2 linked regions of the Macaca mulatta genome follow. The protein of the gene in region 1 purifies or fractionates together with the protein of each later gene. This does not show direct contact. Links are inferred from orthologs where the notes say so. Each region holds a gene or a part of one and is shown on either strand. Other genes may lie near its edges. The genes, in order: DUSP10 and MAPK9.

Region 1 (16,553 bases):
GCTTGATTTATTGAGGGCCATCAAATGCCAGGTACTTTATGTCACCTCATTTCATCCTAGGATGCTGGAGCTGTCCCTGTTTTACAATGAAGAAAACTTGGCCCCTGAGAGATCCCCTGATTTGCCTAAAGGCATACAGTTGGTCAATGGAAATGCCTAGATTTGAACCCAGGTGTGAGTGAGCAAAATTTCACTCTGCTGAGCACATCGTGAATGAGGAACAGATGAAGCAAGAACACGGCTGGGAGAGAGAGTTCATTTCTATTATCTGTTCACCTACACTTAAATTAGGAAGCAGGAGAGTGTACCTGAAAGCTCAGAGAGAGGACAGCCAACTAACAGTGTAGCAGTTCAGAAAGAGGTTTCAGGACTTCTTGAAAGACAGGAGCAGGCCATTCAACTCCTTCCCTCCTTTTTCCTTCACATTCCAACCCTTCACAACCCCAGGCTCAGGAACCAGCTCACCCCTCCTTCTATCTACCCTTTTATAGTCAGTCCACAATCCTTATTCCAAAAATAAATCTTCCTGATGAGATGATGAGAAGTAACAAAAAGCAAAGCTAGAAAGTTTTATACTTTTGTTATGGGACTTTAGTTGGACAGATTATGTTTTTACAAATTTTCCTAAAACAAATAATTATGGGATATACCAAATTACTCCAGCCTCCTGGCCCAGTATGTTTTTGCAATTACTTTGGCACTCCAACTCTATGCTACTTAAATTAGTTAACAGTCATTAAGTTATTTTTAGGCCATAGCAACACACACTCTACTATACCTAGCTTGTTGTTTGTACTCCTTAGGAGCAAAATTTGCCTTTTTACTGGCACTATCATTTCCTTTCAATCAATATCAACAACATTTTACCATATTTATGGAGTGCTTACCATGTATGTGTGTAAAGTTCTGAACACTTTGCACACATTAATTCATTTATTTCAGAAACTAACACTTTGAGACAGCGATTGTTATAATCTCTTTTTGTTAATGAGGTAACTAAGGAACTGAGGGATTCGGCAACTTGCCCAAGGGCACATACCTAGTAAGAGGGGAGCCAAGACTAGCATTCAGACTGACTAGATCCAAAGTTCTGCCTTGATTTCCCCATCATTTGCTACAAAGCTAATGTTTGACATTTTAGTCTTGGATGTTAACCAGAGGCACAGAATAACAGCAGCACGTTTGTGAATGCAGATATGTCTTTATTTCAGATACCTTTTTAAGAATCCTTATAACATCTCTGAGAGACAAAGGGAGACTTTTATTCCCTTCCCCATCCCCCAGAAAAGGCAGAAACAGAATATTTTTCACAGGGTCTCTGATTTCTGAGCCTAGCCATCCACTTTGTCATAGAACTCTACATTGCTAACAAGAGTATATTTCAGAATCCTTTTCAACTAGGGAAAAGTGTGCAATCTATGATGCTCAATTCTAAGAAGTGAAATTTTACAGTATAAAGGCCTAACTCACTGCATGGTCAAATCCACCCCATGGATCATCCTCTTAAACCATTTCCCTCTTCTTCTCTCATTCCCCAGTAAAGGCCTTTGGTACAGAGCAGTCCTATAAAGATTGTAGCAGTTGGTCATTATTTGTTTTACAATAGCATAGAGCAAGTACAGGCATGGGCTCTGACATAACAGGGGAGGAAGGGGGAGACACAGACCCCAAGGAGGCACCTGGAGCCCTCCCACTCCCAGGGATGGAAGCTCCTCTGTAGACCAGACTGCCGATCAGTCACAGAGGGATTCTAGGTTGAAAAGCACTTAAAAATGGGTACATGACACTCAAGTGTTTAGGAGTGAAAATGTTGTTCTTAGTATACTATATTTCTAGCTTTCTTGAATTGGAAACATTAAGTTTAAACATTAAACATACTTAAATACATTAAAACGTTATCTATATTTTTAAATATTTCAACAGAAAAGAGAAAGCAAATAGGAAAAATAAAATTGTTTAATCTGGTTGACAGGTATATGGGTGTTCATTACACACTTTTCTGCTTTTCTATATGCTTGAAAATGTTTATAATAACATTTTTGGAGGCATGTATTGTCTTTAAGAAAAAGGGGCAGTAGACTATTTTTTCCTACCTAAGTAAATGACAAATTATTTCTCTGGATCCAGCTTTACTAAAAAGAAAGGGAGCCCAAAAATCTTGATAGCAAAAACGATAGCTCTCATTATGGATGGTCTAGCTTTCTTATTTTTAAGAATTGTTTAAAATTGTTAAAAGAATTTTAAGAATAGTTTAGCTTTCTTATTCAGTTTGACTAGAAAGCAAGTTTTAGTTGATTAAAAATCAGCTTTGAGTAAAACAGAATATAATTCTTTCAAAGACCTCACAAATCCCTAAATATTTATTCATTTGGATCATTTTCACCAAGTTGAAGGGAAGCACAGGTCTGATGCCATTTATTCTTCAGAAGATGAGACTAAAACATGGATTCTAACATAGGTCACAACAGGGAGGGCACCGTAAATTAGAACAGTAACTTAATCCCAGGGGCTGCCATGCCTCTGATCGGTTTCTTCCCAGCCTGACACAGCATTACTAAAATGGCAAGTTAGCAGCCGCTCTACTTGACAGACAGCACCAAAAATGGAGAGCATGGCATGGAGACAGGGGGACAAGGAGCTTGGACAGGGAGGGTAGCAACCAATGTTTACAAACATAAACCAGAGCATCAGATGGGCCAGCCATAAATTACCCAAGATTGTACTGAAATCTCTGAAAATAAATTAACAGGCCCTTAGAAGTTTCCTCCTTATGTTCTAACTATGCCCCCTTCCCACCAGCTTCCCTACAAAAATTACTCTTTCCAAAATGGTACCACTACCCCTGTTGCTGAAATACAATCTTATCACCAAGGGAGGGGATTACTCAAATAAATCTGAGAGGAGAAGCCAGACCAGAATTGTTGCTTGACCCACTCAAGAATTTGGGAGAAGTCTGCTGGTCATGCCTTTGGGGAATGCCCACCCCGTCTTTCACCACAATGGTGCTATGGTATTAATCACTGGTTTACCAAGTTGAAAGGATTATGAAGGACATTCTAATACTGACCCATTCCTTTCCCTTCTTTTCCATCTTGGTCCCAATTTTAGGCCGTTCTCCCAAAAGATATCAAAATGACAATGATAATTATAAAGTAGAATATAGACCCCTTCACTCCTGAACTACATATTTTCAATGAAATTCCCAGATATTTGAAGAAAAGGCCCCCAAAACTACAAATAATCTAACCTCTACCACCAGAGCGTCTTCCAAGTCGACCAACGCGGTGTCTCACCAACTCAAAAATGACGAGGCCTCGCAGTGGCTGCCCAGGGCGCCCAGTGGTGAGGTCAGCAGTGTGTCCGGCCCCGCCCCATTGAGGCAATCTTACTCTCTGACACTGAAGAACAAGCCCAGGCTGTCTGGAATCTCAGCTGCATCCACAGGAAAGGGAGAGAGGCACCCCACTTCCACCAGTAGCACCCAGGAGATTCACTTTTCAGTGACTGATGGGTCACCCCTATCCACAACTTCACCCGCTGCAAAATAGAGAGTAGAGTCTGCAACTCCTTCTAATCATCCTCATGATTAGGTCTAGGTCTAGGGTCATGATTAGGAGGTCTAGGGTCATCTTGATCCGTGTTTTTTCCTCTCCTCAAATCATGCAGACACAAAAGACTTGCTTTTAATTGTGAACACCTGCTCTGCATGAGCAAAGAGGAGATCATCAAGATCATTAGCTATCCTCCTCTTTGCTCCCCAAGACAAACTATTACAAATGGGAAATTCCCAGGTAGGATTTTCTCATTTGTAAGAGGCCAGACACACCAAGATTATAGTAAGACAATAGCAGGGTAAATATCCTGGGAATCACTCAAAGTCAACCAAACAAGAATACAGAAACAATAAAATACAGAGCTACGCAGAGGAAATCTGAACATATTTGTGACCTCAAGAAAACCCACCACCACAACCACCACCACCACCAGGAAATGCCTAGAAGCTTCTGGAACTCTCTACATACAATTCCATCATGTTCTCCTTCCCAGCAAAGCCCACCAGCTCTAAGGACAGATGTGCCTTTGTGGTAGGGGAGCCCCATGAGGACAAGTTTGAGGAGAGTGGAGGTTGGGAAAAGGAGATTGTGTCAATGGAATTCAGAACTATAGTTCCCAGAACGCTGCTTAACAAAAGGCAGAATGCCTCACTGGGAAGACAAGAAGGAGAATGGCAAAGCTGTCCCGTAGAGACAAAATAACTAACTTGCTCACCCACATGGCCTATTGCAATTTAAACATGCAATGTGTTCAAACTCAGCAACACCTTTGGTCAACACACTTTAGGAGACTGGTTGGAGATGTGACCCAGAAACTGTGTACCTTGGCTCACAACACAAAAGGAGAGAAGAAGATGACTATCTCTCACTACCACCACCAGGTAAAAGATGCCGATTGAGAGTGATGTACGGTGCCCCAAAAGTCAGTATCTGAGGGCAAAGAGGTGCAACTAGGCTGGACACAGGATGCAGGCTACTTGGGAAGGTTAGGCAACACGGTATGGACGGTGCTCCAAGAAGACTGGGTGAATACTTCCTTCTGCTGGAGCTTAGTTCCACTAATCTCAGTTATTCTGCATTCAGTATACTGGGGCAAGTGACCCACTACTCCATCTTGGTAGGAGCCATGATGCCAACTGTTGTCAGGTGAGGCCAGAAAAAAACAATGGATTGGGGAGTGTTTCATAAAAACGTCTCTGTTCCCTTGGAGCCTTGGCAGAGGAATGGATGTAATTGGTGAACTTATACCTTATATGGAACCTTAGAATAAGAAGCTCTGCCCTTCTTCAAGGTCACTTTATAAACCATATAAAAGTCAAGCTGGTCAGAAAGGTGAAAAAGAGAAAGAATTTCCCACAAAAAGAACTGGTACCTGTAGGTTTACTTGTAGTTCACCATAGTTGCTCCTTCCTCTGTTCCATCAACATTGGTTAAGTCTGAGAGACAATAACTTTCCAACTAGTGATTGACTGGAATAGAGCTAGCAGACCAGGCATGACTTGAGATACCATCTGGTGTATATAAAGCCCCTTTTTAGAAAGATGAGAAAACAGTCCCAGAGAGGTGAAATGACTTGCACAATGCAAATTAGAAGCCGAATTAAGGGTAGAACCCAGATCTTCTGGCTTCCAGTTCAGTACTGCTGGGTTTTTCTTACTAAACCAACACAATAAAGAGCATAGAAGGGAAGACAAGAATAAAGTCTATTTTGGTCTTTGGTAGCCAGGGTAAGGAGAATGCTGTCACTTCTACGAGAAAACCCAAAGTGAACCCGGCTAATCAGGACTGTGCTTGGGAAGGGAGCAGGGGCATTACCTTTCAACACCAGAGGTTCTTTGCCTTCTCTCTTCAGGGACTCGAGGACTATGTGAAGTGGCTGGGAGGGCATCACTCGGCTTGGCTCATTGGTATTCTCATCATAAACTATAATTTCTTTGGAAAAGATCCTCTTGAAAGAGTCCTTGCCTTCCCTACAGGAAATCAAGTCTAGGACAGTGATCTTGCCCTGCTGCAGTCTCCGCCGGCTGATCTTATCGGCGCAGTTAATGTGGACAGCTCCTTGGATGTGACTCTTGTTGTACTCCATGAAGGGCCTGCAGTCAATGATGACAGGGCCCTGACTCGGCAGGTGACTCTTGTTGCATTTGGTCATCTTCTTTGCCAAGTCATTGGGGTAGATTATTTTGATGCTGGCTAGCTGCTTGGGGGTCCCTGACACAGGGCTGCCCACCCCACCTGATGGACTTAAAGAGCCTGTATTCTCATTATTGTTGACCATCTGGTTAGCAGGGCAGGTGGTAGAGGTTCCGATGGCAGTGGTGGTGGTGCCAGCAGCAATGGCTTGGGTTTGGGCCTGATTGTCCTTGTCGTAGGTTGCCACAGTGCAGCAGCTGGCACTGCTGCATCCACAATTCAGGGAGCGGGCAGAGCCGCTGGATGAGGGCATATACGTCAGATTCGCAGCCTTGAGGGACACAACGGTGGTGGCGATGACAGAAGGGTGGCTGTTACTGCCTGGGGTGGCAGAACCAAGGTAGCTAGAGTCTAAACAAAGGTTGAGATCCTGAGGTCGGACGGGCCTAGATAGTGCCACTACTACCCTGTCGTCTAAAGGAGATGGAGGCATGAGGAGGCTGAAAACTGGCAATTCAAGAAGAACTCAAGACAGTCTGTAAAGAACGGGAAGGGAGAAAGAAAGGATAAAGTCACGTGACACAAAAGGCAGTCTCATCCAATCCCTAGGAAAGGCCTTTGCATCCCTCTGAGCAGTCTTCCTAATTGCCCTCTATCATACCATAATCAAAACTTGAAACTCATTTTTATGTATTCAAAGAGGATGCAAACCTGAGGGCCCCAATCAATTTGGTTGCTAAATCTAAGGTTAAATTTGGATGTAAAGTTGTAAATGTTAATGAATATTTCCTGGACCTACATAAAAGTTCAGCTGTAGAAAAGGTATAAGCACAAATAATTAGAAAAGCTGAAGACAGAAGGGAGGCTCTTAAGAGGCATCTATTCTGAACCTCAGCTCTTGCGCAGAAGTACACTGCAAACATCTGAGAAAGACCCATTTGTCCACCCTTGCATGCTTGCCAGTTAATTCCCTCACTCGCTGCAAAGGCAAAGGGGCAACCAAGAGCACTGGCATGGTTCACAGAAATGTACAGCAGCTAAATATACATCAGAGTGGATGTCAACTTTCTGCAAATCCCCTTAAGTGAATCTCTTTAACTTGGAGCTATTCTTGCCTTCCATCCTATTGGGGTCCTTTGAAACGCACAACATAGTCATATTAAAACCTCACATGTTGTCTTTTGGCCTCTTATAAATTAATCTGCATTTCCCCTTTTCACTACTAACTGGTGTCCTAAAACGAAATCTCAAGCCATGGAGCCAGATCTGGAAACCTGGAAACCCCAACCCTGGCAGATCCATCACCCTTTGCTCTCCCACCTACCCCTACCCTCATTCCTGCCTGGAAAGGACAACTTGAGCTCACCTCCCCTCTTCATCTCCCTGGCTGGCACAGACTGTGCATCCCAGAGCTTCTCTCAATGGGAGGCAGCCACGTTGTATAAGGTTCCAATCCCATACAGATATCCCCCCTTCAAGAGTACCGACTCCATAAAGAGGACCTCCCAATTAGCCTGTACCCGCTGAAAGGGGCAGTGAATTGTTGCCCACTGGATCTATCTCTGATTTCAAATATTGTCTGCAAAAAGACGGCTCCTTCCTCTTGTAGGCACAGGGACACTCTACAACCCAGGCTTGCTAACTGTTCTTCTTCTATTAGACATGCACACAGCAAAGACACCAAACCCCACGCCAAGAGTCGCTCACCTAAACGAACTTTAAGAGCTGTCTGGAAAAATATCATCATCCGTCTACACACGACCGTCACCATTCTCATCCGTCTACACACGACCGTCACCATTCTCTGACACAGAACCAAAGTGTCACAGGCGGAATCCACACTCACGCGCGCACACGGGGGCATGCACCCATCACGTCGGCAGATCTCCAACGACTCGGGTTTCTCTCACCCACCTTTGGATGGGAGCGAAGAAGCCAACCCCCTTCCCTTGCGTAGTATTTTTTTCTGAAGAGCGAGTACTATTCCAGAAGCTATAACTGTTTCCCGGTTGGACCAAGCGCTGAAAAAGTCTTCGCTATGGTGTTACCTGGTAGGACACGTCCAGGATCAACAGACCATTTATTTTGAGAGGGACGCATAAGCGTGTTCACAGAGACACACGCTGGGACCCACACCTCCACACAGAGTGCGCGGCTCACACACGCACGCACGGAGTGTATAGAGAGATCTGCATCCCTGCAGTAGAGGGTCGGGCGTATATACTGCCCGTGAAACCATTCAGTCTGGCCCAGAAAATCTCCCGGAGAAATACTGAGCTATCCCCTCTCCTTCCACCACTAGGCAAGAGCTGGAGAGAAAATTAAGTGGTTAGAGAATGCTTCTTCCCCACTCCTGGAGCACTTAACATCCCCCCGTCCCTCCGCCACCCCCCTTCACTCCTCGGCACACAGCGCACTAATGAACCCCGGGCATTTAAAACTGCCGCAAAGCATCCCAACAAACCTCATTTTTTCTTCGCCCCAAATCCAAGTAGACTGCAGAGAGAGTAAATGCACAGGGTAGCAGGAGCCAACAGCCGGAACCTTATAACCCTACCTGCTGTAGCTCCTCCGTCAGCATCGCATCTCTCTTTTTCTGTCTGTCTCTGTTTCTCACACACATACACACACACACACAAACACACACACTCACACTCACGCAAGCACCGCCTTACAATCCTCCACCTCCAGTCCCGGGCTCTCAGTAGTCGCGGTGACTTCCACTTACTTCATAAATAAGTGTAGTCCTCCACCATCTGGCGCTCCGCTTCAGCTATGGACTCTCACATTCAACCCCCATTCACTTGGCTTCATTGATCTCCAGCAGCAACATAGTTACTTTCTCTTTTGCTACACTGTAAATGTAAGGTTCTGAGGGGGCGGACTCGTCACCGACCGACGGCGCGTTGGACCAATAAGAATCCGGACAAAGCCGACCGCTACCTCACAAAGCCCCGCGACCAATGGGCAGCCTAGGGGGCGGGGAAGAAGGCGTGGCCTCATCTCTCTAAGGAGGGTTTATCCGACGCTGCTCTGGGTCCTCGGTGTTATAACACGGGCGGTGATGTCATTGGCAACCAATCAAAAACTTAAAAAGAGCCAGCCGGGGCCGCGCTGAGCAGCTGCTCTCTATTTACTTGTAAACCGAACCGGCAGGATGCAGTTAACCCTTTACCAGGCTGAAGCGTCAGCGGACTGGACGCGCCGCTCCGCTAAAACTGGCTCTTCCCACTGGACGGGATCCTCCAACACTCCCTCACCCGGGGGCAAACCACGCTGTTTTTCCTCCTTAATATGGACGGATGATCAAAAGTGTCGGAGTAACTTTCTAAAGGAAAGAGACTGCGATCACCGTCCCTAGTGGGAAAGCCAGGTTCTCTCCGCGTCGCTCGAGGTGACTTGACAAACCCTAAGCCAAAACTCGCGGACCTCGCCGGGTCTTCTGCGCTAGGACCAACGTGAGCGCGCAGGCAGGGGCGACGCTTCCGCTCCGAGCCGAGGTCCGGGGCCACGCGCTTGGGGCCAGAGCTTGGCAGCTGACAGTACCGGACAGGGAGGCCCTTCAGCCTCGACGCGGCCCGCGTCCTCCGGACAGCCCTGCTCCGCCCGGGAAGCGTCCGCCTCCCGCCGGCCCGCAGATGTCGCTGCCCCTCCGGCTGTCCCGGCCTGACCGCCGCGCGCCGCCCTCCTGCTCACCTACTTCCGCGCCCTGGTCACGCCCCTGTCGTCCCCAGACTAACTCTCCCGGGGCTCGACCCGGAGCACTAAGGCGGCGCCACTGAGGGCTGCTAGGAGGAAGAGGCCTGAGTCGACGCCAGAGGCAAGGGACGCGCCCTGAGCAGCGGTGCAGAGGCCAATCCCCTGGCCGGGCGTCCTGGGGCCCGCTACGCGCCCGCCGCCCCTCCGGGGCTTGGTCCCCCCCGCCACCTCCCCCTTTCCCACCTGGCGCGCTGGGTCCCCGCGCCGTGCCAGCCGCGCGCAGCCCACCCGCCCCACATGCCTCGGCCGACCCTCCCCCCCCCAGTCCCTCACGGCCCCTGCCGAGGCCAGGACTGCCAGCCCGGCGCTTCTGGAACAGCCGCAGCTGGGCGGAAAAGAGCCAGAGCCGAGTGCAAATAGCTAGATTGAATGGGGCCGGAGGAGCGTGGAGGAGGCGACGCCGCCTCTCCTGGCTCCCCTAACTTTGGCCGGCACCAGGTAGCTGGCCATAGCGCGCATCCCGGGAGACGACTGGGGGGCGGGGCAAGCCGCCCCGCGCCTAGTCCGGAGAATATTCGTGTTAGGGAAACTGCAGGAAAGTTGCCTTGGGATACAAAAAGAAGTGGAGATGAACAACCCCAGATGAACTGTGGAGAGTCTACGTCCAAGAACCCTAAAGAAGTAGAGCTTTTTCTTTTCTTATCTGTGAGAGGAGAGATAAAAAGTGAAATAATTATAATGGAATAATACATTATGAGCACTAGGGAATGTTGGGCTATCATTTTTCTCCCTTACTTGATTGAATGGGGTTTGGAGGTCTACTTCAGACTCCAGGCCTAATAGTATACTAAGTAGCAGGGGCATATTCATGTAATTGTTTTCAGGGCAGATCTGAAATCACCAGGTGTCAGACCCTAGCTGGCAGGTCAGCTATGCTCAATGAGCTGTGAAGAGAAATATCTTTGGGCGCTTCCACTTACATGCAGGCACATACCCCCCCAGTCCAGCTTTTCACACCAGTGTTACAACTGGCATCACGTACATCTGATAGTCTTATATAGGAGAGGATTTTCTGTAACATCTGTCGATGGAAAGAGTCAAACTCTGTAAAATATTTGAAGAGATTTATTCTGAGCCAAATATGAGTAACTACGGCCTGTGACACAGCCCTCAGGAGGTCCTCAGAACGTGCTCAAGGTGGTTGGCGTCCAGCTTGGTTTTATACATTTTAGGGAAGTATGAGACATCAATCAAATACATTTAAGAAATACATTGGTTTGGTCCAGAAAGGCTGGATAACTCTAAGGAGGGGGTGGGCTTTCTGGCTATACGTAAATTTAAACATTTTCTGGTTGACAGTTGGTTGAGTTTGTCTAAAGACTTGATATTAAAGAAAGGAATGACTGGGTTAAGATAAGAGCTTGTGGGGACCAAAGTTTTATTATGCGGATGAAGTCTCCAGGCAGCAGGTTCAGAGAGAATAGGTTGTAAAATGTTTCTTTCAGACTTAAAGTCCATGTTGATATATAATGGGGCGCATCCCACCCTCACTTCCCCTCATGGCCTGGACCAGTCTTTCAGAATAAATTTTCCAAGAGTCCTGGTTCAGAAATTAGTCCATTCAGATGGTTGCCTGGGAAGGGGGGTGAGGAGCTTAGAATTTTATTTTTGGTTTACACCTCTCTTCATCCACACACCAACACACACATCCATTCATGCTCCTGATAACAGCAGATTGCTTAGGGCACACCATTTGGTTCTTAAATGTTTGAAGATCAACAGGTTATGGTCAGGAAACTTGGATGCTGGGTAATTTCTATACAAATCAGAAAAGAACTTCCCAGAGGTTCTACCCTTGATATATCTGGAGCTGAAAGGCTGCAAGCTTACCTTTCCCTAATCGTAGACAATTATTGGAAAATTTTTCATTAACTCAGAGTTTGAGAGTTCTACGTTCTGATTCTGACTCTATCTGTTATATCTGTTCATCCAGTCTCTGTCTTCATTTATCCATAAAATGGTAATACCCCAACTTAGAAGAAAAAGGGAACTCATTCAAGTGCTTAGGGGGAAAAAAGATCCCTTGCTGATAAAAGGTATTCAGTGGAAAAAAAAATTAATTTACTTGCTTTAGGAAATAAGGTGCCTATCTTTAAAGGTATGTGTAATCTATAAATGATGAAGTAATTGCTACTGCCTTGATATCTAAGCCCAAAGTATAGATTTATATAATTGCAGAAGAGCTCTTAACAGCTTTTCCCACAAGGCCCTAAAAAGAAAAGTAATTTCAAAAAGAAAGGCAACTCTTGTAATGAGATGATTGTTTTATTACAGTTTCAAACTAGTAGATTATTATAATTTAGTTGACTAAGAATCTAAGCCATCCAGGCTGAAACATTGGGAAAGATGGCAAAATTCCTTATCATGTATCACACCTGAAACATGAATAATTACTGAAACATGGAATAATTAACAGATTGTGAATATAAGCAAAGCTGTAGTTATTTTTTAAGTTAGGCTTCTCTAAGCTTATATTCAAGTCATAAGACTGGTGAACAAAATCAGATTATAGATGGAATTTTTTTCCATTCACTACTCTTCAAAACATCTTTTGGACAAGAAGAGGTGATTTTGTTCCTGTTTTTGAGTCATAAATGTGAAAATACTACACCGAAATATACTGCCCTGAGACTTAAATTCATAATGCTAGTCAGCCAATGGCTACAAACCTGATCTGTATGTCAATAACCAGCAGCAGAGCCTTAATGTTAGTTTCAGTCCCAAAGAAACAGTGAAGCATCTTCGTTCAATTTGGATGTTGTAACGTGATTGTATTGAGTCATATCTTTGTTCCCACAAACATCATAAGAAAAATATTGACTGTTTCAGTGCAAAGTGCTGTGTATTAAAGACAAAAACTGAAGATAACTTAGGCCAACATGTAAGATATAATATGGATAGTATTAAGCAAATGTATTAATTAAATTACTTCTTTTTTGTGCACTCAAATGGTTAAGTGTGTGGGGTAATGACAGAAGGTGTGGCCTTCAAAATAATCCTCAAGGTCAAGGTAGATTTCTGGAGGTACTAGAATTAAGGCAAAGAATGGCTTGGAGAAAACTTAAAAAATAATCCAGGCTAAAGATGATATCATACTAGAAGGAGTAGGGAATAAGCTGAAGAATAGGAAAGTGGCATGGTAAGTGTTTGAGGTCATTGAGGCCAGTCTGGCAAAACATCCAACAATACTCTCCAGTCCTAGGGAAGGGCTGATTAAAAGGAGTCCCTGAAGGAAGGAGCTTCTGTGGTTTGAATGTGTTCCCCGAAAATTATATGTTGAAACCTAATTGCCAGTGTGACAGTATTAAGAGGTGAGGCCTTTAGGAGGTGGTTAACTCGTGAGGGCAGAGGCCTCATGGAAGGGATTAGGGCCATTACACAAGGGCTTCAGGGAGTGAGTGAGTTTTCTTCCATTCCCCTGTAGGGACACAACTTTCATCCTCTCTGGAGGACACAGCAACAAGGTGCTATCTTGAAAGCAGAGACTGGACCCTCACCAGGCAGTGAACCTGCAGGTGGCACCTTGATCTTGGACTTCCCAGCCTCCAGAACTCATGTGAGCAATAAATTTCTGTTCCTTACAACTTCCCCAGTCTCAGCTATTTTGTTATAGCAGCACAACTGGACTAAGACAGTGGCTACTGCAATGATGGAAACAGAGGCAGGGCCATGTGCTTGTCCCACTATCCACATGTTTGGACACAAGAGGCCTGCAGTTCTTTCCTACAAAATTCATGGGCAGGTGTGTTTGTGACTCAGGAAAAGACTCTGAGGCATTTAAGGCTCTATATCTGTATTTTCCAGTGTGGTGGTCATTTGACACATGTGTTGGCCACTCGAAGTGTGCCTAGTCTGAATTGAGGTGTGCCATAAGCTTAAAATACAAGTGGGGGCAATAGAAATGGGGGCAGAGGTGAACTGATAGAGCCTCTGTGACCACAATCTTGTTCTCCACACCTCCACACTTGACAGATGTAGATATAGGTATGGATAGATGTATGTCTTATTTGTGGGGTTCTGAAGTAAAATTTCAGTTAAAGGAAGGATCCTGGTTGGGATTTTTTTGTTGTGGTGGTTCTGGTTTTTTTGTTTGTTTGATTTTTGTTTTTTTGTTTTTGAGATGGAGTCTTGCTCTGCCACCCAGGCTGGAGTGCAGTGGCACAGTCTTGGCTCACTGCAACCCACGCCTCCCAAGATCAAGCGATTCTCCTGCTTCAGCCTCCTGAGTAGCTGGGACTACAGGCACACACTACCATGCCTGGCTAATTTTTGTACTTTTAGTAGGGATGGGGTTTCACCATGTTGGTCAGGCTAGTCTCAAACTCCTGACCCCATGATCCACCCACCTCCACCTCAGCCTCCCAAAGTGCTGGGATTATAGGCGTGAACCACCACGCCCATCCTCTGTTTTGTTTTTTAATCCTGTTCCTTTTTTTTTTTTTGTAAAGTAATTTCACTGGATGGCATGGCCAAAGCATGGGTGACCTCAGACCCCTTTTCAAGGTTCATCCTGGCCTCTACTGATCACACAGAGGTGACTGGCTGGTTAGGAGAATTAATATGCTCCCTATCTTCATTTAGGCAAGTGGATCCCTTTCAGTTTTCTCTTCCGCTTCACTGGTCCCCTATTTGTAACCCCACAAACATCTGCTGCTCTTTCTCAGAAGAGGATTCTGCCTCAGCCCAAGTGTGTGGACCATGGATGTAAACTTATTTTCTTTATAACACACATAAAACATTCACTGGCCTTGGGTCTCCAACAATGCCCTCCTCAGTGGCGGATGGCCTGTTATTATTATGTGTTGCTACATCAAAGTCTGTTAACATTTTCCTCCTCACTAAACTGAGCCATCATGTTTTATCATTACGATATGCTGTCAGCGCCAGTTTCTCAACCCCAGGAGGCTGGGTCTGACTGTGTTACTGAGGGATGAAAAGTTATAAGGTAAACATGCACGCAAAGCATTCCTAAACCCCCTCAAGAGTTGTTTCAGGTCTAACACTAAGGAATTAATCTAACGTTCTCAGCATCTCCTAGTAGGTTCACACTGTACCACTTCTACATGTAAGAAGTTCCTTTAGATGACAAAGTGCATCATAATGTACTTTATCTTTATAATTGAATGTTAACTGAACTGATTTTAAAGATCTAGAATTTGGGGAAAAATAATCATAGGTAACATTTACTAAGTGTTTTGCTGTGTGCTAAGCATTGCTGTAAGTGGTTTACATGCATTAACTCACTTAAATCTTCACAGTCACATCGATCTGTAAGTAAGTACATTTTTATTAGCTTAATTTAAAGATGAGAAAACAGAAATACAGATGGGGTAAGTAATTTGCCCAAGGTCACAAAACTAGAAAGCAGCAGAGTCAACATTTAAACCCAGACAATCTGGCACCAGAGCATCTGCTTTTAACCATTGTGTGTTGTTTCATTCACTCTTGTTGTGATTTTATAAGTTTCTATCGTGTCCCCCTCAGTCTCCAGACTGCAGTATATTTTTAATTGCCTCTTCATAAGAATTTGCTGTTTTTTTCTTTTGTTTTCTTCCAAACTTTTCTCAGTCCATTATGATGTGTATCTCCATGTGATCTCAATCTTACAACTGTAGCCTCCACATTGGGAAATGGATCCAAACCTGCACTTTATTTCCAGAATAGTCTCAAATATTGCCCTAAATCGTGTCAAAGGCATGGTTGCTACTGCAGATTGGACTGGTAAATTCAAGGAAGAGTCTATGACACCTCTATTAGCAAAACCATGTCTTATTTGCCATCCCATCCCTAGCAGGTGGCCCAGGAGCTAGCACATAGTTTGAACTCATTAAGCTTCGGTTCAGTGAGTGAGTGACTGAATGAATGAATGAACTGAGAATGTTTTTTAAACATACTGTCTTTGTCCATTCAGGCTGCTATAACAAAATATCACAAACTGAATGGCTTACAAACAACAGAAATTTATTTCTCACAGTTTGGAGGCTGAAAGTCCAAGATCAAGGTGCCAGCATGATCGGGTTCTGGTAAGGACTCTCTTGCAGGTTACAGACTATTAACTTCTGGCTGTGTCCTTGCATGGTGGAAGGTGCGAGGGGTCTCTCTAGGGCCTCTTACAAATCCCATTTGTAAGGGTTCTGCCCCCATTATCACCTTGGGCCTTAGGATTTCAACATATGAATTCGGGGGGGACACAAATATTCAGGCTGTAGCACGAACATATCTTTGAATTATTCTTTTTTCTAGAGGCATACCCTGGTCCATCTGATGATAGCTTTCCAGCTACTGATTTGGCCTTCTGTAATAGCTGGAAACTTAGAAACCTCCAAACTCCCTAAATTCAATCCTCTTTTGAATAATTTATGCAGATATTAGCCAAGTGTCTATCTCTGGGGAGATACACTGATTACACATCACTCGTTTTGTTTTGTTGTGACCATATTTCCCTCTTTATAGTTTAACTCCATTTTTCCCCCATAGAATTTAGAAAATATCAACATCTTTCTCGTTATAATCCTTCTCATTATACTCCATACCATACCTGATTTTTGTTAGGTCAGTGCTCTTTGCAGTTATAATTGTCTTTAATGCTTAGAAAAAATTCCTCTTCTTGTTCACTGAATTTCAGCAAGATGATGGTATCTTCCTTTTCTCATTCAACACCATCCTTCTTGTAATTCTCAAAAGCATGCATTTTCCATTTCCCAGTTTTATCTCCCTGACAGATGGATTGTCCAGTGTTTATTTTCTAGCACGTGACTGATGCCAATAAATAGCTTTCTTCAGAAAGGCATTTAATCAAGGACCTGAGCCTGGACATCAATGAGTTCGTGTTCCTCATGGATGTGCTCTGAAAGGAAATGACACTATTGATTCTGGGTTAGGTGGGGAGCAGCACCCCGAGAAGTCCTGTTTCTAATGCTCTGTGAACAGGCCCAGGTCCACCTGGATTTCCCACCCAGAGGAGGGTTCAGTGTTTTCCCTGGTTTACGTGGTAAATAAAGCAAACACTTTGTAATTATACTTACGACCAGCAAGGGCCACGAATGTATGAACATGATGGATGAAGTCCTTTTTGGGTGAATGTAAGCATCTATGCTATGCTAAGTA
Region 2 (15,952 bases), on another chromosome or scaffold:
GTACTTGTGTGCTTTAATTAAGTACTATTTTGTTAGTTACTGGTATGCATTGAAATATTTTCCCCCAAAGTAAGAACTGAAGCACATTATAAAAGACCTAAGTGAAAGAGATTAAAATGAAAATTTTGTGAGGAACAATATGTTAAACTTTCTTGTTTGTTACTGTGCTGACATTTTGTAGAATTTAAAAAAAAATCTGGTGGGTTATTTTGTGACACACTGGGGAAGTCAAAATACATGTAAAATGAAAGAGATAAACTCATACTGTAGTCAGCAAGTCGTGTTAGATATACAGCAGAAAGGAGAATAACTAATTGTTACGATAGCCTTCTTTCCTCATTTGCCATTCTTCCATCCTTAGTATTTTTTACCCTAACATGGTTCTTCACATCTTCCCTTTTTCATTTGTGTTTTAACCACTTAGTTTTTCATTAGTCTTTGGCTTTGTTTTCGTTACAAAAGTTGAAATTGGTCTCCATCCTTGGGCAGATTGATGGCTGCTTTTAAGGAAAGCGAGCTCTGTGGTCAGTGTTTTGTGTGTATCTTAGGAAGAAAATTTCAGATTTTAATAAGTTCATCAGAGTGGTCTCCTTATAACATAAATTCTTCACAATGCAAACTTGAAATGAAAATATTTTTATTCCTCTCATTTTATTTACTTTTCTTTACATTTTCTGTATCATAGATTATATGTCAAGTTAAATATTTTATTTGTTCTAGTAAATTTTCTAGCAGTTTCTATAGCCTTACCTCAGATTCACTTGTTTCAACCTATAAATAAGGAAGTCTTTATTTTGCAAGTGAACTTAATTAAAAAGGGAAAGTTGAGGAATTAAGAGACTAATAATTTAGAAATATATACTTAATGTTCAGTTTGTCTCAATTCTTATTCATTTTGTGCCATTCCTTGTTTTATTAAGAAATGTTTTCTTCAAAAAGTACAAAAATGAAAAATGTGAGTACTTTTTGGTGCATTTTAGTAAGTAACTTAAAATTCCTGCTTTACATATTAATATTAATGTCAGTAATTAATGGTGTTATCTATAAGGTTACCTTGTTATTCCCAAAAGTCACACACAATTTAACATCATTTTTCTAAAGAAAATTTTGCCAGCTCTTTCAAGTATTAGATTGAAATTTGGGAGATAGAAAAAAGTTGCAGAAATCAGACTGAGGGTCTCAGAGATTTGCTTTAATGTGTGACCTGGGGTAGAAAAGGAACTCCTGTCCCTGTGGTGACCTATGAGAAAGAGAAAGCTTTCGCCAGGCTACCTCGGGCTCCAGCTCAGACTCCTCCCCTCGGCAGCCAAGCATTCTTGAGAAATTTAGGGCCTCTCTGAGCCTTGGTTTCCCCTTCTGTAAAATAGGAGACCTGCAGTCTGCCTGCAGCTTCACGAAAATTAGACAACAGGGTCCACTGAGCTTGCTGGAATTACTGTTCCCCTTCCCCCAGCCCTCCCATCTGTCCCCTGTCCCTCCCATCTGTGGGATGCTGGGGTGCAGGCCTCTCAGGGAATCTGTGGGGCTTCTCCCACAACTGGTTTAATTTCTAGTCCTTTATCATTAATCCAGCAGATATTTCTCTCACCTGCCCATTTCTGGGTGCCTAGTCTGACTTAGATGCAAAGAGGCTCCTCCCAGCTGCTAAATTGAGGCTGGATCATCAAGGGCAGGGCAGAGCAGGAGACCAGAGCAGAGGCTGCCATCATCCAGAGGAGAGGCGGAGGCCCCCAGCAGGCTGGGAGGGTGCGGCCGGGGAGATGGAGGTGGAGGCCCCCCGCAGGCTGGGAGGGTGCGGCCAGGGAGATGGGCTTGTACTCTGCTTTGAAGTTGGACCCTTCAAGGAGCCTTGCTAGGGTTTGGAGATGTCTGTTAGACAGTGGAATTCAGGGGCAAGGTCTGGGATAGAGAGATCAAAGTGGGTGTCATCCATCTGTTGGTAGCCTTGAAGCCTAGGACTGGTAGCAAGCGCTTGCAGGGGAGGAAGAGACCAGGACCCAGGACTTAGCCCCATTGAGGTGGAGGGACAAAGGGAATAGGGAAGGAAATGGAGAAGGCACTCCAGCGACCCCTCCTCCTAGAGCGTGGTGACAGAGGGAGGGTCATTCACATGAGATGAGGACAGAGGACTGGCCACTGGGCTTCGTGATGGCTGCTGGCAGCCATGATGGGCACAGCATTTATGGAGTGGAGGGAAGAAAGCCTGATGGGAGTATGTTTGAGAGAAAATGAGAGGCTGGGAATTAGAGACACAAGTATAGGCAGCTCTTTTTTTTTTTTTTTTTGGAGACAGAGTCTCACTCCGTTGTCCAAGCTGGAGGGCAGTGGTGTGATCTCGGCTCACTGCAGCCTCCACCACCTGGGTTCAAGCAATTCTCTACCTCAGCCTCCCGAGTAGCTGGGATTACAGGTGCCCGCCACTACGCCCAGCTAATTTTTGTATTTTTAGTAGGGCTGGGGTTTCACCGTCTTGGCCCAGCTGGTCTTGAACTCCTGACCTTGTGATCCACCTGCCTTGGCTTCCCCAAGTGCTGGGATTACAGGTGTGACCCACCACGCCCGACCGACAGCTCTTTATGGAAGTTTTGCTGCAAATAGGAATAAGATAGAGCAATAGGTAGTGGGGGCCAAAAGCAGGCAGCTACTATGTTAACACAGGAGAAAACACTGTCAGTTACCAACGTGATGGAATGTACTGGTAGAGTGTAAAACGTTGATGATGTTGGAGAAGGAAGAGTTGAGGGAGCTCTTCCTTGGGTAAGCACGAGGGTTAGTCTAGAGCTGGGCAGGCTAGGTGTAGCCGGGAGCCCAGTTGGTTGCTGTGTGGCAAATGGCACACAGATGCTGGGTGGGTGCATCCTGGGGAGTCTGTGGGAGTGAGCATACAGAAGAGGTATCAAAAGTATAAGGCGGGCCAGGCGCGGTGGCTAACACCTATATAATCCCAGCACTTTGGGAGGCCGAGGCAGGCAGATCACTTGAGGCCAGGAGTTCAAGACCAGCCTGGCCAACATGGCAAAACCCCATCTCTGCTAAAAATACAAAAATTAGCCGGTCGTGATGGCAGGTGCCTGTAGTCCCAGCTACTTGGGAGGCTGAGGCAGGAGAATCACTGGAGCCCGGGAGGTGGAGGTTGCAGTGAGCCGAGATCGTGCTACTGCACTCCAGCCTGGGCAACAGAACGAGACTATATATATATATATGTATGTGTATGTGTGTGTGTGTGTGTGTGTGTGTATTATATATGGCAGAAGGAAAAAGTGTGAGAACAGTTTTCACATTTTGGCTAAATAGGTAAATAAAATGTGGACATAATTCTGATTTGACAACATGTATGAAACAGGAGTAAGAAGGAGAATTTGCTAGTGAATTGAAGGCCAGAAACCCATTTCCTGAGCAGGTCTTTGGAAGTATAACATTTTGGAAGAACTGAGTTCATGTACCGGTTCCCTAGGTTATTTCATGGTCATGTAAGTTCATTTTTCTAAGACATGCCTCAGTGAGCACTTTTTGAAGCTGCTGTTGATGCTGTTTTTTTCTCGCTTGCATTCTCTTGTATAGTTGAGTACGGTTCCAGTATCACTTTCCCACATGTAATCCTAATTATCCCAAGCCTAACAAGCACCCTGTGGAACAGGCAAAGCTGGTAATGTCTGCATTGAGCAAAGAAGGAAATGGACCCCTAAGGAAGCTTGACTTTCCTGACACACTGTGAGTGTTGAATGCAGAGTTGAGTCTGAAACCCAGGTCATGCACTTTGAAAGGAAATAAAATGCATTACCTCGGTATTGGCAGTGATGGTTGGGAAGAGTCAATTCCAAGTAAAGCAGAGTATCGTTTGAAAGCTGTCAGTGGGCTCAGTCTAAGCCCAGTTGGTTGGTTCCCCGGCTGTAAAGTGAGGAGGTCAGACAGGTCTCTCACAGGTCCCTCGAGATCCTCTGTTCTTCAGAGAGCTGTGAATGAATCTAAGGTAGCATTAGTATGAAAACTGATTTCAATTTGCTGATGTAATGTTTATCTAGTTTCATGTTTAATCATTTTTGCCATAGGTATTCTTAGTTAAAAGATCAACTTTATTTTGAACTAGAGTGGGCAGGTGTGTAGACTTCATTGTGTTGATTTAATAAGCTGTGTCATAGTTTATGAAGATGCAGAGTGGAAGAGTTTTTAAAAATAGTGTAACTTGGAAACCCAAACCTTATTTGAATATTATTTGGAAATTCTGCTGCTGATCCGGTGGGGTGGCCTAGCCGATAGGTGTAAAGATGAGTCAAACGCTGCTGCATGTGCTGTGAATACGAGGCACTCCAGTTGTATTTTCCTCAAGAGACTCCTTAGATATTGATCAGTGGAATAAAGTTATTGAGCAGCTTGGAACACCATCAGCAGAGTTCATGAAGAAACTGCAGCCGACTGTGAGGAATTATGTAGAAAACAGACCAAAGTATCCTGGAATCAAATTCGAAGAACTCTTTCCAGACTGGATATTCCCATCAGAGTCTGAGCGAGACAAAATAAAAAGTAAGATACCCTTTTTTTCTTAGACTTGTGTTTTGTAATTCAGGTGGCGCTTTCAGTCTTTCATGTTTGTATTCTAAAAACCTGTGAGTTTTGGGAGAGAAAGTCATTTTAGGCCAGAAGTCTGAGGTATGAAGGCACTGAGGAGAGAAAGCTTAAAGGTCTGGAAGCTTTATCCTCCATAACATGGCTTAATTGAAGCCTTTGGCCAAAATAAAAATCATCAAATCAGTCTGAAAGAATCTTGTTACAGTTACAGCAACTGGAATTCACAAAGTTTTCAGGTGAAAAGAACCCTTGAATGCAGATTCTAGAGTCGGAGCCATGTGACAGTCACTCGGTAGAAAAGGTCCTCCCCACCTCCTCCTGCAGCCTTTACTACGGTGTGATTGCTTAAGGAGAAAGAAGAGATTTTCTTCTGTCCACATTAAGATTAAGGTAAACTGGGCCGGGCGCGGTGGCTCACGCCTGTAATCCCAGCACTTTGGGAGGCCGAGGCGGGCGGATCACGAGGTCAGGAGATCGAGACCATCCTGGCGAACCCGGTGAAACCCCGTCTCTACTAAAAAGACAAAAAATTAGCCGGGCGTGGTGGCGGCGCCTGTAGTCCCAGCTACTCGGGAGGCTGAGGCAGGAGAATGGCCTGAACCCGGGAGGCGGAGCTTGCAGTGAGTCGAGATTACGCCACTGCACTCCAGCCTGGGCAACAGAGCGAGACTCCGTCTCAATAAAAAAAAAAAAAAATTAAGGTAAACTGTGCCTTAATCAGAAAACCCTCAGTCATTCCTGTGCTTACTCAGGTTGTGAACTTCAATTGCCAAAACCTAGGTGATCCTTATATTTAACTAAGTTATTGAACTTGTTTTTGTTTTTTTTTTTTCTAAATACCAATCTGTAGATTAAAAAAAAAAAAAAAAAACTGTAAGTTGCCAGCACTGTATACAGCTAGGCCAGCCAGAAGCATCTGTGAGTGTTTCATCCTGTGGGAATGTGAGATTGTTGCACGGTTTAAAAAGTCTGTTCTAATTTCATTTTGATGTGACTTAGAGAAAAATACTCCCCCGTGCCTCATGCCCACACCCTGGGCAGTGCCACCCGCAGCTCGGCAATTGCCACCTTCCTTGCTGTGGTTTCCCAGCCTTGGGCCCTGCCCAGACATTGGTCTGAGGCTGCCTGGTGCTCTTCCCCACCACCCTGGGGGCCCAGGTTTCTCTTCCCCTCGCAGATCCAGAGGCGTAAAACCACATTTGGAAACCTGGTTTGTCATGAAAGTGGCCATCTGACTTTTTCTTAAAAATGTTTGGGTTATGGCCAGGCGCGGTGGCTCATGCCTGTAATCCCAGCACTTTGGGAGGCCGAGGCAGGCAGATCATGAGGTCAAGAGATCGAGACCATCCTGGCTAACATAGTGAAACCCCATCTCTACTAAAAAAATACAAAAAATTAGCCGGGCGGGGTGGCGGGCGCCTGTAGTCCCAGCTACTCGGGAGGCTGAGGCAGGAGAATGGTGTGAACCCGGGAGGCGGAGCTTGCAGTGAGCCGAGATTGCGCCACTGCACTCCAGCCTGGGCGACAGAGCGAGACTCTGTCTCAAAAAAAAAAAAAAAAAAATTTGTGTTATATTCATCTTGAACCTATCAAACGTTTCTCAAAATTAATACATCTTTGTTCTGTCTGTGCTGTCGTATTTAGTTCTTTATTGTATGATTCTCTTTGTTTCATATTAAAAGCATTAGTGTATTAATCTAATCTTTGTTGTCACCCTAGCCAGTCAAGCCAGAGATCTGTTATCGAAAATGCTAGTGATTGATCCTGACAAGCGGATCTCTGTAGACGAAGCTCTGCGTCACCCGTACATCACTGTCTGGTATGACCCGGCCGAAGCAGAGGCAGTGAGTATCTGTTTTGAAAAGACTTGTATGTGGAGGCCGGGCTTGTATTTCCTTGGATCTTGTCTGCTCGTCCAGAGCGGCTACATATGGGTAGCAAGTTCTCCATCTGGGGCTCCCAGTTACAAAAAGGCCAAGTGCTGTCTGAGGCCTGGGCCGCTTTGCTCGGAGGACCTCAGGAATGAACTTACGCTTTGGTGATACCAGTCTCCATTTTGCAAAGGCTGCTGTGAGCTCATAGTTTATTAAGCATCTGTTCTGTGCCATTGGCTTTGGTTACATCCTCTTGTTTAGGCCACTCAACCAGAGAGGCTGAGCAGCTTGCTGAAAAATCACACGTCTGTGTATCCTTCCCTAAAGGCCTTGTGCCTCCTGGCTCTCCCGCTGGAGGAGCTCCACTCTGAGTTCGGTGCTCACGTGCGTGTTTCTGTGTCAGCGCTGGTGTGAGTGAGCTTTAGCTGTGAGGGAGATCACTGCGTAGTGGCGGGCTTCCTTCGTGCCATGAGTGACACACATGTTTATGGCATGGCCTGTGGTTTTGCCATCAGTTTAAACGTTGTTTTATATAAAAAGAATCCAATTTATAAGCAGACTTTTGTAACAGTCCATTTATGAGTTGGACTTTGGGTTTGGGAGTTCTCACATGAAGAACATGTAAAATTTGTTCTAAGAAACAGCAGTACCTTCCATAGCTGCCTGCACAATGCCTTGTCCATGATGGGTCTCGGGAAACAGCCTGTGATGGGCAGATGTCTGTGTTTTGAGGTCAGGTGATTATTAAGAGGAACATAGTAACTCTTTTTTGGTTAACTTTTTCATAATTATTTTGATCCCAAAGCTGATCCAATATTGCATGACAAATCTTTATTAAACCATGTGTTGAATTAAACTAAATCCATATCATAAATAGACTAGAAGTCTTCCAAGCGATTTTACCTTTTTTAGTGCCTCATTTTTTTTGAGGCATTACTATTGACTTTACATATGATTTAATTTTTAGCCACCACCTCAGATTTATGATGCCCAGTTGGAAGAAAGAGAACATGCAATTGAAGAATGGAAAGGTAAAGATGGAGCTTATTTTGATCCTTCCTTAGGACATTTCTTCCAGTCCTGTAAAGCAGAGGCTTTTCATTTTGTGACATTTCCCTTCAGGAAGGGGCAAGAAATGCTGCGACCCACTTAGCCTCTTTCTCCCCAGTTTCCAGTAGAAAAAGGACTTGAAGAGAACAGAGTTAGAGAGGAACATGTATCAATTTCTTATCATTTGCTTCAAGAGGGAAAAATAGCATTTTTTTCATGGCTTTTCACATATCGGTTTGTAAACTGAGCTTAGTAATTGCATCACACTTACATTGATAACATGTTGCAAATTTCAGGTGACACCAGTTCACAGGCTGCATGTTACCTATAGAATTCCCAGTGTGTGCAGATATGGGGAGCCAGGGCTGGGGGTCATGTGAACTTCTGCCTGCTTTTTTTAAGCCGTGTAGTTGTACATACGTTTTAAAATCTAGTTTGGGGGAAACTGCAGATTGAAAATATGCAAATAGGTATTATTACCACTGTAAGATTAACCAGACCACCCACAACAAACTGCACCTATAATGAAGAGGTCGGCCTGACAGTTCTTCATTAAGAAGCGGCATCAGTAGTAACTGAGAACCACAGTCAGAGTGAGTCAGCACTGAGGGTGGGTCCTGCCCCGGGGCCCTCCTGGAGTGCCGGTTGCCTGTGTGAGCTCAGCAGTGCATGCTCACAGCACACTCACTGGCCTCCGGAAATGGTTGCAACGCGCTAGTGCTGGTTTATGAATACTGACATTTTAGGAATCCCTAATCACTTACTTAGTAGGTAATTAGTTTTTCTTACAAATGAAAGTTGAAGTTGAAACAAGGAAAAGACTTAGGCGTGTGGATTCATTTCTGGCCAGTGTCGGGGGTTCCTAGCCCACATGTGGATGCCGGCTACCTTTGGAAAACCCCAAGTAACTACGTAGAGAAGCATATTGAAATGGATGTGAGAGTATCCAGTCCCTTACAGTGTTCTGTGGGAGCCAGTCCACTTCATACAGCCCCTTGTGGGTCCAGAACCACCCCACGTTTTGCTCCCTTACTGCTGCATGGAAAAGATGGGATGTAGTCCAGGCGCAGTGGCTCACACCCGTGATCCCAGCACTGTGGGAGGCCCAGGCGGGCAGACGGCTTGAGGCCAGGAATTCAAGACAAGCCTAGCCAACGTAGCGAAACCCCATCTCTACAAAAACTATAAAAATTAGCCAGGCATGGTGGTGAACACCTGTAATCCCAGCCACTTGGATGGCTGAGGCATCCAGGAGGTAGCGGTTGCAGTGAGCCAAGACTGTGCCACTGCACTCCAGCCTGGATGACAGCATGAAACTGTCTCAGAAAAAAAAAAAAAAAAAAAAAAAAAAAACCCAAAGAAAGAAAGAAAAGAAAAGATATAATGTATCAAAACATGAATATTTTGGTCCACTTAGACTATATTACTGAATTGACTCTTATCTTACAATTAAAAATAACACATCGGAGTGCCTTTGGAGTGGTTCCAGTTGATTTGGAAGCAGAGTTTAGAGATACAATGAAACTGTTTAGAAACTGATTAAGCATTTTAACTTGTATTTTTATTAAAGAGCTAATTTACAAAGAAGTCATGGATTGGGAAGAAAGAAGCAAGAATGGTGTTGTAAAAGATCAGCCTTCAGGTTAGTGATTGTTTTAATTGATTGTATGATATTTTTCTTACCTTATTCAGCTTTTCTTTTTTGAGACAGTCTCACTCTGTCACCCAGGCTGGAGTACAGTGGAATGATCTCTGCTCACTGCAACCTCCACCTCCTGGGTTCAAGTGATTCTCCTGCCTCAGCCTCCCAAGTAGCTGGGATTACAGGCACGTGCCACCACGCCCGGCTAATTTTTGTATTTTTAGTAGAAACGGGGTTTCACTGTATTGACCAAGCTGGTCTTGATCTCCTGACCTCGTGATCCGCCCGCTTCAGCCTCCCAAAGTGGTGGGATTACAGGCGTGAGCCACTGCACCTGGCCTCTTTCCCTATTCATCTTTTATAAATGGCAGCAGCATGTTTGAAACGCCAGCCTGGCTAGCATCAGATTTAAAAACCACTGTATGAATAGCCACCCTTTTTGGCTTGTCATAGTGAAGGGGGTGGTGGATGGCATTTTACTGATGTGCCAGGCACTGAACTTCCTTATAAACATTTCTCTTTCATCTTTGCAACGATTGCTGTCACGTCCATTTACAGATGAAATGGAATTTAAAGCCTTTTCAACGTTGATAACCCACCCAAAATGCCAATCTAAGTAAAATGGAATTTGGTTTTCTCTTGAGAAAATTGTTCATATCATTCTCCCATTTTTCTACTTGATCTGCCGATCTTGATAGTGGTGGAAGCCTGCTGACCGGGTGGTTGTACGATTATGAGAGACTCTGATATTAGTGGTATTCACTTACGTCTGCAGGATTCTTCCCGTTTACTAAATGAAACGCTCAAGTTATATTTATTGTCTCTCTCCCACTCCCACTGGAAAGCACACACGCGTGGGGATGTGCAGAGAGCACAGCTTACTTTTTATTCTTGAATTTTATATTCAACATGACGTATGTGTCAAGCATCTAGAGATTATATAACTTCAGCAAGAACTTAAGTGCTTGTTAACTAAGCACGAATTTATGACTGCAGACGTCGATCTCAGAGAGTCTGCATGTTGTATTTTTATTCACACCAGACTAAAATATAGATAGTAGGAAGTAGAATAGTTTCATTTGCTTTAAAAGATTAAAATGTCAGTTTTCTGGAGGTACAAAACAATAAAAAATACGAGGCCACTAATTTTTTTCCTTTTTCTAGTATATAGTCTTTATTGCAAAAGATTTATTTGAATGTTGATGCTTTCTTTTCTGTAGATTTAGTGTTTATGTTATAAATTGTTATAATTCAAATGTCTGGTGACACTTGAATTCAATTCAGGCTTAAGCTTTTGTGATACTGCATTTTCAGATAAATATAGCTGTTTCCTTTTGATGTCTGCTTGAAAGCAGCGGTTATTTTTTAAGTAGCTAACATGATTATACATGGCCACATATATGTTTAGCCACTGAGAAGAAAAGAAGAATCTTGCAAGGAAAGACATAGGAATATGGGACTCTGGGCCCAAAGAAAGACTCAAGGAAAAGTTCAGAAAGTCCAGCTGACTAACTTCTTGTTTATGCTCATAGTTAGGGTTGGGAAACTGCAAAAGGACAGAGCCGAGAAATGGCCTGAAGTCTCGTTGCCTGGATTTGCAGCAATGTCGTGCCTCAGATTTTATTATATTTGGTTTTCTTAGCACAGATGCAGCAGTAAGTAGCAACGCCACTCCTTCTCAGTCTTCATCTATCAATGACATTTCATCCATGTCCACTGAGCAGACACTGGCCTCAGACACAGACAGCAGTCTTGATGCCTCGACGGGACCCCTTGAAGGTTGTCGATGATAAGTTAGAAATAGCAAACCTGTCATCATTGAAGGAACTCTCACCTCCATGGGCCTGAAATGCTTGGGAGTTGATGGAACCAAATAGAAAACTCCATGTTCTGCATGTACGAAACACAATGCCTTGCCCCTACTCAGATCTAATAGGATTGCCTGCTTAGATGATAAAATGAGGCAGAATATGTCTGAAGAAAAAAAGTGCAAGCCACACTTGTAGAGATTTTGTTCAAGATCATTTCAGGTGAGCAGTTAGAGTAGGTGAGGTTGTTTCAAGCTGTAATAGTGACAGTTTCTCATCATCCGTAACTGTTGAGAGGTGTGTGCATGTGACCACAGATGCTTGCTTGGACTTGCCCATCTAGCACTTTGGAAATCAGTATTTAAATGCCAAATAATCTCCCAGGTAGTGCTGCTTCTGAAGTTATCTCTTAATCTTCTTAAGTAATTTGGTGTCTGTCCAGAAAAGGTTGATTTATGTGTATTAATTGGCCGTCATGATGTTATCATATCTTATTCCCTTTTGTGCTATGATTTATTCTATCTTTTGTATTTCAGAAGACATATTAATTAAATCTATTTAATAAATAAAAATATATAGCTTTTCTTAAATTTGTGATGTTTGGGGCTGAGAATTATCACGGCTAAAACCAAGACACTCATGTGGACATCTTGTTTTCTTTAAACTGTCTTGTCTGGGATGATTGTACATTCAGCTTTACTGCACGATAAAATTTTAAGTTTTGCTTAGTGCTGCTTGAAATCCTAGCTACCTTATCTCTTTCTTCTTAGTCTTCTAGACTTACTATGAATTTAAAATTCTACCTAGAACTTCACCTTCTTTGTTAGGCGTGTAACACTCCCTCTTAATAAGATGATGGCAGATAGATTCCTGCATCCATGGCCTAACGCTGGAGTAGAATCTTACAGAATGGTCCCTAGAGACCACTGCAGTCATTCCCTCAGTGCTTCCTTTGCCAGAGACTGACCTGGGTCCTTTACTTACCTTCCCTCATTCACTTTCCCTCTGCCAATACCATGTTCTTGATTTTCTTTCTTCACTGGAAGAAAGCGGATAAATTCCTCTTTGGTCTGTTTTCAGAGGCCAGGCTGATTCAGATGCCTGTTTTTTGCTATTGCTTTCCATTGTTTGGGGGCATTCCTTTTCACAAGGGAAACCCGTGAATGTTCTGGGAAACTCTTCAGAGGATATGAAGGAAATACTTAAAGAGTAATGATTAACCATTGAATATTTTCTGATTTAAAACTGCTCACCTGAAATTGATACTTTGAGACTTTCCGATAAGTAAATGATTCAGAACTCATTCAGATACCGAGTGTGTTAAGTGTCACTGCAGAAACGGAGCTATGACGATCACATTTTGCTGCCTGTGCCCGTGTTTTTCCCTTGAGCTTATTTTCTTGCTGATTCATATCTTGTGTTCAATTATTTTGGAAGCTTTTCAGTCAACATTCTTTAGACTGTGTTCTGAGGAGGAACTGTGATGAGAAAGTGGGTTCTAGATATGATCTAAAGTGCATGGCTCTCTCTGCACCCGTTATGTCCTGTCGGTTGGTCGAATCACTGGAAACTGGAACCCTTGATTAGCAAAACTAATATTGAAATAAGAAATAGTTCTTTTATATTGTCATTTAGACACTTTCAAATACAAAATGGTAATAATAACTTGGATTGAGGCAGAAATACCTATTGTATGGCTGTCTTATCTATCTTCTCTGTAATACACATTCTTTTAAAAGACTTCACTAAATCTATCTTTAAAAGGAAAAACAAAAGGGAGAGGTTGAAAATGCACGAGTTGCCCCGCACTGTGTGATGCTCCCTCCTCGGGAGACGTGGACAGGGACGAGGCCCCCGCAGGTGCCCTTCTGCTCGCTCGCTCGGCTGTGACTCTGCGAGCCACTTGCCACAGATGGAGCCCGGACGGCGCGGAGGGTTTCCTGGAAAGGCCGTCTTCCACCAGGTAGAGGCGAGTGTGCCCAGGACAGGCCACAGGGCTCCACAGAAATACCTCTCCCAGCTTCAGGGCTCTCCCTCCTGAGCCTAGATTTGCCAGGGTCTTGGTGCCACACACATGGTTTCACACTGATCTCTATGGAAAAATGCTGGTGTTGGTTAAAGAACTGAAAAATGTGCTCAACTTTTCATCTTTTCTATTTTATTTTTGTAATTTATATTGTACACAACCCGGGAAGTAACTATTTTGGACATGTATTTTTATAAACCAGGTAATTTATTATTATCCTGGAATTTAGACTAGGTTTGTTTCATTTGTTGACTTGGTTTTCAGTCAAGAAGGAAATGACTGTCTCCCCCATGTTCAGGTTGTAATTTCAAGTGCAGAGTCCGGAGAACGAGTTCTGTCAGAGCAGGAGAGAGTCTAGAAACACTGGCTGTGCACACTGTGTCAGCCGTGGGCCTGGAGTGGACACAGGGCTCTGCTCTGGTCTTTGAGATGTGAGACGCAGAGCCCCAGTGCGGAGAGGGGAATGCCCACACCAGGTCCGTGTCCAAAACACTAAGTGGGTGCTGCTTCAACCCGCATTTCATGCTGTGTAAGTCACGATAACGACGTACGAGTCTGTCTGGTTGATTTCTAATGTAACTCTTCTGGTAATAAATACAAATGTGACCTTTCGGATTGCATATCTCAAAAGTAACATTGCCTAATGTTTTATAATAAAATATATTATGTGTGTTTTGGTTGGTGAAAATAATACAGACTACATTTTAAAAGATAAATGTATAGCATGTCCAATTTTTGTGTGTTTTTAAATGACAATTAGATAATTTCTCCATCACCATCTCTGATGACAGATTTAACATGAAACAGATAGATGATAAAGCATCATGCTTTTGATCAATATTAGCAAGAGGTTTCACATGAAAGGCAGAAACATTGCTGTTTGTTCTCTTATTGAAAATATTCTGCAAACTCCTAAATCTGTGTTTTCAAAACTAATGGCGGTAAGTTTTGACGTCACCAATACACAAGCACGGTTCAGAGTATTGGTGTAATTGTTTTCTCATGAGGCGTGGCCAGGAGAATCCGCCAGTCAGCCTTAGTCGTATGACTTAACGTCGTTCATGGTGCTTGTGGCTTTGCAAGGGATGAGCCAAGTTCATCTGACGTGTGTTTTTGAAGCACTTTAGGCTTCAGTACTTAATACCACAGGAGGAGAAGGACACTCAGTGGCTCAATTTCCTTTGTCTGCTTAAAAGGACTAGAATCATTCCAGAGAGATGCGTGTCAGCTGTGTTTGTAAAGGTCTCGCGAGAAGGAAGCTGTTTCTTGAGATACTGGGGTCTGGGTCTGGGTTCCATTTCTCTGTCCTGTTCCCTCTTCCCTCTTTCACTGTAGGCAGCACTGAAATGCTTTTTATTTATCGACTGAAGTAATACACGTAGGTGGGGTGGGGCTTTTCAGGGAGGAAGGAGAGTGCCCGTATTTCAAAATAACGTCATAATTAGCTACTTGCGTTATCTGGAAGATTCTGTGGCTACTTATGTGAATTTAAGCATAAGGTGGTTACCTTTGTCAATAAGGCAGTTCTTCGATATTGTTTTAATCAGGAAAATTGGTAACAAAATCAGTAATAACAGTGACAGAGTGGTCAGTCACATCTGCTTGCAGCTGAACGTAGCCATTATATAAGGGAGATGCATGTCTCAGCCCTTGGGAGCTGGTCACAGGCTGAGTCCTCAAGGCCTGGAGACCACATGCTCTTCTGCAGTTAGAACGACCAAGGCCGTGGTTCCCGAGGGTCACTGTGAGCACGAGTGTTTGCTGCCTCAGTTCTCCTCCATGGTGTTTAGAGTTGGAAGGGAAATCCAGAATCATTCTGTCTAACCCCCCACCCTACAACAGTGAGAAAGCCTTACGCCCGAGAAAGAAGGGCACCTCACAGCACCAAGAAGGAGCGGTGGGTCTGCCCTGACCCCGTGGGCAGCGCGTTCTTGCAAATCTCACTCTCCTCTTTTAGTCATAAACACTTTTGAGAATCTGCTGACATCTGTTACCTTCTCCCAAGAAAAACGCCATAAGCACAGAATTTTTGCCAAGCTTTCAGAGGAGCCCTGGACCCCAGTGGATACCATGTGAATAGCCCCTTTCTTTTCTTTTCTTTTCCTTTCTTTTCCTTTTCTTTCTTTTCCTTTCTTCCTTTCTTTTTCTTCCTTCCTTCTTCCTTCCTTCCCTCCCTCCCTCCCTCCCTCCCTCCTTCCTTCCTTCCCTCCCTCCCTCCCTCCTTCCTTCCTTCCCTCCCTCCCTCCTTCCTTCCCTCCCTCCCTCCCTCCCTCCTTCCGTCCTTCCCTCCCTCCCTCCTTCCGTCCTTCCCTCCCTCCCTCCCTCCTTCCTTCCTTCCCTCCCTCCCTCCTTCCTTCCCTCCCTCCCTCCCTCCTTCCGTCCTTCCCTCCCTCCCTCCCTCCTTCCTTCCTTTCTTCCCTCCCTCCCTCCCTCCCTCCCTCCTTCCCTCCCTCCCTCCCTTCTTCCCTCCCTCCCTCCCTCCCTCTTTCCTTCCTTCCTTCCTTCCTTCCTTCCTTCCTTCCTTCCTTCCTTCTTTCCTTCCTTCGTTTTTCTTTCTTTTTCTTTCCGGAATCTCACTGTGTCGCCCAGGCTGCAGTGCAGAGGCATGGTCTCGGCTCTCTGCAACCTCCACCTCGCAGGTTCAAGCGATTCTGGTACCTCAGCCTCCCACGTAACCGGGATTACAGGCATGCACCACCGTGCCTAGCTAATTTTTGTGTTTTTAGTAGAGATGGGGTTTCCCTGTGTTGGCCAGGTGAGTCTCGAACTCCTGAGCTCCAGCGATCCACCTGCCTCGTCCTCAAAAGTGCCGGGATTACAGGCGTGAGCCTCTGTGCCCGGCTGAAAAGCCCCTTTCTAGATGCAGCTCCCAGACGCTTCGTGTTCTCAGGGAGCGGAGCCTCAGGAGGGTTCTGCTGCCTTTTCTGCCCTTGCTGGGCCTGCCTCGTTTGTACACAAATCTTGGGTGTGCACAGGGCATCGTCAC

The links.
Region 2: the proteins of DUSP10 (region 1) and MAPK9 purify together in Homo sapiens (affinity purification with mass spectrometry; 3 studies listed by BioGRID and IntAct, with this or other methods). This does not show direct contact. The link is inferred for Macaca mulatta from reciprocal best matches to the Homo sapiens genes DUSP10 and MAPK9.

What each region holds. Positions count from the first base shown.
Region 1 is NC_133406.1:79,619,576-79,636,128, forward strand, and holds the start of DUSP10 (dual specificity protein phosphatase 10), read right to left. Parts: upstream 8,510-16,553; 5' UTR 8,416-8,509; intron 6,224-8,415; 5' UTR 6,181-6,223; coding exon 5,370-6,180; intron 1-5,369. UniProt on the Homo sapiens protein: Protein phosphatase involved in the inactivation of MAP kinases. Has a specificity for the MAPK11/MAPK12/MAPK13/MAPK14 subfamily. It preferably dephosphorylates p38.
Region 2 is NC_133411.1:189,245,703-189,261,654, reverse strand, and holds the end of MAPK9 (mitogen-activated protein kinase 9), read left to right. Parts: intron 1-4,338; coding exon 4,339-4,521; intron 4,522-6,285; coding exon 6,286-6,410; intron 6,411-7,407; coding exon 7,408-7,471; intron 7,472-9,060; coding exon 9,061-9,132; coding exon of another isoform or gene 9,133-9,137; intron 9,138-10,774; coding exon of another isoform or gene 10,775-10,779; coding exon 10,780-10,922; 3' UTR 10,923-13,682; downstream 13,683-15,952. UniProt on the Homo sapiens protein: Serine/threonine-protein kinase involved in various processes such as cell proliferation, differentiation, migration, transformation and programmed cell death.